2 linked regions of the Drosophila melanogaster genome follow. Each later gene encodes a partner of the first gene's protein in a complex. Each region holds a gene or a part of one and is shown in the gene's direction. Other genes may lie near its edges. The genes, in order: Cbp20 and Cbp80.

Evidence for each region.
Region 2: Cbp20 (region 1) and Cbp80 share a complex: the UniProt entries of both Drosophila melanogaster proteins name them as parts of the nuclear cap-binding complex.

The regions. Positions count from the first base shown.
Region 1 is NT_033777.3:18,163,039-18,166,254, forward strand, and holds Cbp20 (cap binding protein 20), read left to right. Parts: upstream 1-1,622; 5' UTR 1,623-1,690; coding exon 1,691-1,738; intron 1,739-1,793; coding exon 1,794-2,011; intron 2,012-2,135; coding exon 2,136-2,334; 3' UTR 2,335-2,401; downstream 2,402-3,216. Other genes in the region: CG7218 (uncharacterized protein), read right to left, coding at 66-676, 1,066-1,264; Prx5 (peroxiredoxin 5), read right to left, coding at 2,528-2,857, 2,988-3,122. UniProt on the Drosophila melanogaster protein: Component of the cap-binding complex (CBC), which binds co-transcriptionally to the 5' cap of pre-mRNAs and is involved in various processes such as pre-mRNA splicing and RNA-mediated gene silencing (RNAi).
Region 2 is NC_004354.4:4,648,055-4,653,103, forward strand, and holds the start of Cbp80 (cap binding protein 80), read left to right. Parts: upstream 1-1,995; 5' UTR 1,996-2,275; coding exon 2,276-2,318; intron 2,319-2,377; coding exon 2,378-3,716; intron 3,717-3,777; coding exon 3,778-3,881; intron 3,882-3,900; exon of another isoform or gene 3,901-3,998; coding exon of another isoform or gene 3,999-5,049. Other genes in the region: mRpL30 (mitochondrial ribosomal protein L30), read left to right, coding at 1-40, 121-535; torsin, read right to left, coding at 631-1,460, 1,519-1,711; CG15473 (uncharacterized protein), read right to left, coding at 3,999-5,049. UniProt on the Drosophila melanogaster protein: Component of the cap-binding complex (CBC), which binds cotranscriptionally to the 5'-cap of pre-mRNAs and is involved in various processes such as pre-mRNA splicing and RNA-mediated gene silencing (RNAi).

The DNA.
Region 1 (3,216 bases):
TAGTTTAGAAACCAAACCAATATAATCACAGAGAAAATGTGGTTTATAAAGCTACCATTACTCACCTGAAACATGATCAGTCCGCTGTGCAAGAAGACATAGATTAGCGTGAAGAGAACGTGCGTAAGCACTCCAAAGTGCTCTCGCTTGGAATTCTTTGGTTCTGTCGCCGTCCAGAAGAGAGCATCGATCGTGTCCTGACCAAAAGCGGACAACAGCCGGTCGCCCACCTCCAGCATGTTGTAGAATATGTACAGCTTGATGATCGACTGTGACTTGATGATGTGGTACACCCGATTCGTGTCCACCAGGAGCATTATCAGCGTCACCGTCATCCAGATGACGCCCTTCAGCAGATCACAGATCTCCGCCGGCGATAGCAGCCTTTGTCCGCTGCTGCGTAGTCGAAAGATTCTTGCCACCGTCCTGGAAACTAGGGCCCAAACGGCCATCACAAATCGGACGGGCAGAAAAGTGTGAATGTAGAGAAATGAGTCGGCGCACTGCATGATCCCGTACACCATGAATCGCTCCAGATCCCGCGGTATGCGCATGAAGCTGTAGATCTTCTGCCTACGCGCCGAATAGCGCTCCTCGTCGTGCTCCAGCATATAGCCGCGTGTCATCTCCACTTTGAAGAAGTCGTAGAATGTGTTTGTGCAGGTTTCGGCGGTTCCTGCAAAAATAAAAGAAAAATGAATGATAAGTATGAATCAAATATAAAGTATATGCATAGATTCTAATGATTTAAGTAAAATAGATAACGATTGATTACAAATCATTGATTATACATCCTTATCCTTAGTTAAAACAACTTCAAAAATTGCAAATTATGATATATTAGGTTTTTAAGAGCTTTATCTGGAATTTAAGTTAATTAAAAATCTCTCTAGAACTTTAAATATAGCATCAAATCTAAGGCAAATGTGTATGTTATGATCAAAAGTAAAGTTGCTATGAAATAGCGCGAAACCCAATTAAAATTAGTTAACGTAAATGTCATCCTAAGAACTAAATAATAATAATTCAAAAGAATGTTTTTCCAATCAGTAAATCCGTGTTTACCGCTCTGCAGTCGCTGCTGCGCTGAGCCCGCTGCCGGCGTCGCAGTCGGCGTCGCTGCAACGTCATCCTGGGCGAGCGGCGCCTTTTGCTTCTGCTCCTCCTGCTGCTGATGATGCAGTTCCTCCACTCGGCTGCCGGTGACGTCGCCGCGAAAGCGCAGCTGACGCTTGCCGCCCGCGGAATTGAGTGTGGCGTTCATTAAGTACGGTGTGCGGAGTCCATAAAATTAACAATAACAACGAGCTACAAAATTTCGGGGTGAAACAGCAGTTATATGAAAATGTACTAACGCGTGCCGAAAATACCCAAACGTAAACAGTGTGTGTATCGAATGTACAGAACTATCGCCTAAAGTAACAGCTTAGTTTATATTATATTAACATGGTTAATATTTGCAATGATTTTTATTCTAAGCTTAAAGAATAAGTTCCCGTTAGGGCCATGAGAGAAATTGATATATAAGTATACAACGAATTTTAAAATAATATATTTTTGCTACCCAGTAAACTTTTTATGCACTAGCTCACCGATTCATATTTCAAAGTGCTATCGAAGTATCAGTCAATAGAGTGCCGTCACTAAATAAAAGCAGAGAAAATATTTCAATAGTTTGTAGCTGAAAAATATGTTCGCATCTGTGGAATTAAGCTCATATCGCGATCAGCACTTCAAGGTGAGTACATCCGAAGGCGCCACAGCAGATCTCCGACTCAATAAACCAATTGCAGGGCTCGCGCTCCGAGCAAGAGCGATCGCTCCGCGACTCGTGTACACTTTACGTGGGAAACTTGAGCTTCTACACCACCGAGGAGCAGATCCACGAGCTCTTCTCCCGCTGCGGCGATGTTCGTGTGATTGTGATGGGCCTGGACAAGTATAAGAAGACGCCCTGCGGCTTCTGCTTCGTGGAGTACTATGTCCGATCGGAGGCGGAGGCGGCCATGAGGTGAGCCATATCCATCTCTCCACGCTAGAAAAAGCCGCCTTTTTTCCGGCATTTGTAGAAGTAATCAGATGGGGTATCATTATCTCTTAACTAACTTCAACACTCTTTTCTTCTCCCACAAAAGATTTGTGAATGGCACTCGCTTGGACGACCGTCTGATTCGTGTGGACTGGGACGCCGGCTTCGTGGAGGGCAGGCAGTATGGACGCGGCAAAACCGGCGGACAGGTGCGAGATGAATACCGCACGGATTACGATGCCGGCCGCGGGGGTTATGGCAAACTGTTGTCACAGAAGATTGCACCCAACACGGACAATCGCTAGTTATTAGATAAAATGACTGTAAAGACTATAAGCCCCCCAATTAGATATTAAAGCATACCCCTTAGACATAACATCTCTAATCGCATATATATTGTACGTTTTACATAGTTCTTTTGAAGACGTAATTGATATCATTGCGGCCTAGCATTAGCATGTATGAGTTTCTAGTGTTTTCGGGCTGACTGGATTCCATTTACTTCTTGCCAATGTTGTTGGCCAGCGAGCAGCTGAGTCCGGTGCCATCGGGCTCGACATTCAGCTCGGTCACCTTGCCGTTCTCCACCACCAGCGAGTAGCGCTTTGAGCGCACGCCGCCAAGTGGTGGCAGATCGATGGTCACATCCAGGGCCTTGGTGAAACCGCCGGCGGGATCAGCTAGGAGGCGCACCTTGCCCGCGGCTCCGTGCTCCTTGCCCCAGGCGGACATCACAAAGGGATCGTTGACCGAAACGCAGACAATCTCGTCCACGCCCTGCTTGGACTTCAGCTCATCGGCGGAGCTCACATAGCCGGGCAAGTGGGTCTGTGGGTGTGGGGAAATGCATTATTCAGTTGGAATACATAAGCTGCATAAATTACACTATACTGCTGGAAGTTTCTACAATATTCGGAAACTCAAAGCAGATGACTTTGCAACTATGCTACCTACGCACCTTTGAGCAGCCTGGAGTGAAGGCGCCGGGAACGCCGAAGATGATCACCTTCTTGCCATTGACGAGATCGCCGGTGTTGATTTTGTTGGCTGGCGAGTCCTCGAACAGATCCACCGATGGCAGGGAGTCTCCTACCTGGAAATAAAGTGGGAGGCAGACAGGCGTACTTAGAGAAAAGAGGCAGCAAGATGGAGGCGATAACCTTGAAACGCTGTAATTTCTGGGTGCC
Region 2 (5,049 bases), on another chromosome or scaffold:
AAAATGGCCAGAAATTTGAGGGTATCACCTACTATCCCAGGTTCGTATTCACGTGTGCAGTGTATAAAAGGAAAACACACGAAATCCAGCATTTGTTAATGCTAAATCTATCCCGCTCAGGACTCCCGATCACCAGGATCCACCCGTGGAGCCGGCGAAACTTTTCCGGGTGCAGCGCATCAAGCCGCTAAAGGGCAATCCCTACTGGGAGAATCGAATCCTCAAAGATCTGGGACTAGACGGAAAGCAGAGCGATTTTACTGTCGTCAAGAACATACCGGAGAACAATGCCCGCCTGTGGAAGATCAAGCATCTAATTAAGGTTACGCCGGTCACGTTCCCCTACGGAGAGCCCACTGCCCAGGATGTCCGGCATACGATACTCAAGGAGAACGGCGAGTGCCTGGTAACCAAGGACCTGGGACCCATCGATACCCGCCTGGCGGCTCGCCAGGATTACGACGAGCAGCCCAAGCGACTGGATACCGATCTGCTGCGCAAAGATGCCCGCCTCAAGTGGCTAAATCCCTGGTAGTTAAAATTTGTTTTCTTTATTCCGAAAAAATAGTTTTTTAAATACAAACCGAAACCCAAACTAAGCATTAAAATGTGGAGTCGGTCGGTCCTTTCTCAGTAAATGGCCATGGCCACCTTCTTCTCCAGCGTCTTGCAGCCCGAAATGGCGAACAAGCTGTGCGTGCGATCGTAACTAATGGAGGAGTTTATTATGTCCTCAATGATTTTTTGGTTGTTCGCTTGCTTAGGATCGCGCCGCCACCTTAAAAGCTCCGCCTCCAGGCACTTGATCACATGCGCCTTCTCCATCGGCAGGAACGGAATGAAATGATCGATAACATGAGACTCAATCATGGTGGTCTTTTTCATACCGCCATCCATGTTATAGGCGGCCTTCCGCAAAAGGGGCTCAAAGTCACTCAGTCGTGTGTCCTCGCGCAGCCTACCATTCTTCATCACACTACCCAGATGACTGGCTATATGACTGCCCGCCGTGTTCGAGAGAAAGATGAAGATTGCCTTTGTGTTATCCGTGCCATCGACAAAGGCGTTGTAGTCCACCAGCGAGGTGAGCTGGTCGAATACTCCGCTGGGCATTTTATCCACCTCGTCGAAGATGAACAAAGATCTCGGGCAGCTACGCAAGGTATCGCGCACCGCATTATTGATTTTCACCCTATAGTTAGACACCTCACTTTCCTTGGGAAAGTCAGCTTGTCCGAGATACTTGGTTACATAGTTCGACCTGGAGCCCTTCAAATACATAGCATCTGCAATTTGCTCAGCCACAAAATTCTTGCCCGTACCGGGCTGGCCGTGAAAGCTGATGACCAGCGGTTTCCGTGACTTATTGCCCGAAGCGATGTGCGCCTTCAGTGCGGGGACGATATGCTGCCTCACGATGTGCTGGCCAATGAGGGTGCGTTCCAGGGATCTTTCTAATTCTGTAATTACCCACTGTACTGGTTAGTCATTTTGTTGCATACAAAACTACTCACTCACCATCTATTCTCGCCGGAATGTTTCGGTCATCGCAGCATTCGGCAAACCGGCAATATGTATGTTCTTTGAAGTACGCCCCAAGGGCCACGGCGCCAACGGCACCAATGGTCAGGGGATCCACCGACTGGAGGGGAAGCGGCAGTATTACAAGCACGCTAAGGCACAGTGATAACATGCGTGGAAAGCTCATCATAAAATGCAAGGAAAATTCCGCGGTGGAATGTATAGATGGGCAAAAGCGATAGGCAGCATAAGACTAGATTGCAGCACTTGCCGGCAACCGTTTCTATCGATAGTTGTGTAGCAGTGGCATTCAACAGATTTTTATTGTAAGTCAGTCAGTGGTATGTTTTGGTTAATTGAGTATGCCGCAATTCTGCGCATATGGCGCCAAAGAAAACGTTTATTCAGGCCCCATTTTCAGTCCGCCGCTTACGCCGCCGCTGTTATCGATAAACCCTGCCATCGATGGCGGCACATCTTTAGTTCTTTGGCAAAAAAAAAAAATAGCATCGCATCGCGTTTTTTGTGAAAATTGTGACAAAGCTGTTTTGAAAGTTGGCAAGCTAATTGACGCTCGCAGTGAAATACTAGACGCACCAACAAGGCCCATCCGTCAAGCGTATCCTGTCCAGGATCCCCGAAAAAGTCCAGGTCCAAGAGGTGTACCCATCAGCGTGCTTTTCTGTCTGCCGGTGGCCAAGGACCAATCGGTAATCGGTGTTTTCCGCAAAATTCACAGAAAATTCACGGGAAGATGAGTCGCAGGAGGGCTCACGACACGGAGGATGAGGGCTATGGTAAGTGGGCATCGATGTAATCATGAACGCAAAGCATTTATGGGGGCATTTAATTGCAGATCATCGGCGCAACAAGCGTAGACGTGTGTCCGAAAACCAGGAGATCGAGGATCGTCTGGAGTCGCTGATACTGCGGGTGGGCGAGCGTAGCACCTCCTCCGTGGAATCGAACCTAGAGGGACTCGTCTCCGTTCTGGAGGCCGATCTGGGCACGTTTCGCCTGAAGATCCTGCGCATCCTGTCCGACTGCGCCGTGCGAATGCCAGAGAAGTGTACCGTTTACACCACGTTGGTGGGCCTGCTCAATGCCAAGAACTACAAGTTTGGCGGCGAGTTCGTGGATCACATGGTGAAGACCTTCAAGGAGTCCCTCAAGATGTGCCGCTGGGATGCCGCCCGCTACTCGCTGCGCTTTCTGGCCGACCTGGTCAATTGCCACGTCATTTCGGCCACCAGTCTCCTCCAGCTGCTGGACACCATGATCGATGTCTCCAACGAGGATACAGTGCCCCAGGTGCGTCGCGATTGGTTCGTCTTTGCTGTGCTCTCCACGCTACCCTGGGTGGGTCGCGATCTCTACGAGAAGAAGGAGTCTGCCCTGGAGTCCCTGTTGCTTAGGATCGAGGTCTATCTAAACAAACGCTCAAAGAAGCACCATAATGCGCTGAGGGTGTGGTCCTCAGACGCTCCGCATCCACAGGAGGAGTACTTGGACTGCCTGTGGGCGCAGATACGCAAGTTGCGGCAGGACAATTGGGCGGAGAAGCATATACCACGACCCTATCTCGTATTCGATTCAATACTTTGCGAGGCACTGCAGCACAATCTGCCCACGATTGTGCCGCCGCCGCATCACGACAACTTTGAGTATCCCATGCCCTGGGTGGTGTACCGCATGTTCGACTACACCGACTGCCCCGATGGGCCCAATCTGCCGGGTGCCCACTCAATAGAGCGCTTTTTGATTGAGGAGCATCTACACCATATCATTGAAACATACCATCACGAGCGAAAGGATTGCGCCGCCCAGCTGCTTAGCTTTCCGTACAAGCACAAGATCCCGCTGGAGTACTGCATCGTCGAGGTGGTCTTCGCCGAGCTCTTTCATATGCCCACGCCGCGCTATCTGGACATCTGCTACGGCTCCATTTTGATCGAACTCTGCAAACTGCAGCCGGCCACGCTGCCCCAGGTTCTGGCCCAGGCCACCGAGATCCTCTTTATGCGCATCGACTCGATGAACACGTCATGTTTCGATCGGTTCGTCAATTGGTTCTCCTATCATCTGAGCAACTTCAAGTTCACATGGTCATGGGACGAATGGGACAGCTGTCTGCTCCTCGACGGCGAGCATCCGCGTCCCAAATTCATCCAGGAGGTGTTGCAGAAGTGCCTACGGTAGGTTATAACCGTGTCTGTGTACAAACCATTGATACTCAACTACATACATCTTTGACAGCCTTTCGTATCATCAGCGCATTACGGAAATGATGCCAACGACTTATGCCAAGTTGATTCCCTTGACGCCAGTGCCCAATTACAAGTACGCCAACGAGGAGGCAGGTGAGTCTGACCCCGTGCCGTACGGATTACTTGAATTTATTGTGGGATTAAGTGTGCTTACGGCTAGGCTTAAATATAGGATAGGATAATTAGGATTTAAGATAGATGGGTAGGCAGCTAATTAGTCAGCACTGGCTTCACCTCGTTCTCCTCGTCGTCCACAATGATGGGTATCTCCTCGCCGTTCTCGCCCACCTTGATGCTCACAGATCGACTAACCGATTTCTGGGTGAGCACCTCCACCACTTCCTTGGATGGTGCCGGTGGCAGTGGCGACGCCAATGGAACGCCAGTGGATGCAGCGATTGTGGACGGCGGAGTTGCTGTGGTTGAAGTTGTCGTGCTGGTTGACGAAGTGGTGCTAACGAAGGCTTCGTGGCGGTGACTGCTCTTGGCCTTGCTGTCCTGCTCCTTTCGCCGCTTGGCCCACTTATTCAGCGGTGGTTCCGTGCTGGTGGATGTAGTGGTTGTGGTGGATCGTCCAGCTGTTATCTTTGGCGTGGTGCGATACCTACTAATGGAGCGCAATGGACTAAAGTGCGTGGAGGTGGACACAAAACTGGCGATCGTGGTGGGGATGACGTGTGTGGATCTCTCAGTGCTTGCAGTCTCAGTGGTTGTGCCAGCGTTGGAAGATGGCGCTGAAACAGTTGTGCTCAGTTCGGGCTGCTCCAAACTGACCACTGGGCGCTGTTCCCCTCGCTTTTGGTCACTTGCCTGCTCCTGATGCTGTCCCTTATCGGTTTCCTCCTCCGGCGGCTGCTTATCCTGCAGCACATCGATGGGGTTCTGGTGGACATATAAAGGATCCGGCTCGGAATAGCGATAGACGGTCTCCTCCAGCGGTTCGCTTTGCACAAAGGACTTGTCATCATCGCCGGAATTGCCGCCCGCATAGATAAGCAAAGGTGGCAGCTTGGCTGTTTGATACTTGGAAGCCTGCCCATAAATTTGTGGTGTCCGCAGCAGTAAATCCTGATCTTGTTCCTCCAGAGATTCGGAAGAACCCGAATTGGAGCTGGGAAACTGCACTGTCTGATGATGGGTATATAAGTTTGAGGACGGATTGCCAGCCGGTGTGATCGGTTGCGGTGGCGAGGAGTTGGGCAAGCGGTAGCCCAATTCCGGATGCAATTGGGCATCGCCGGCACCAGGTGCCACATAGAAA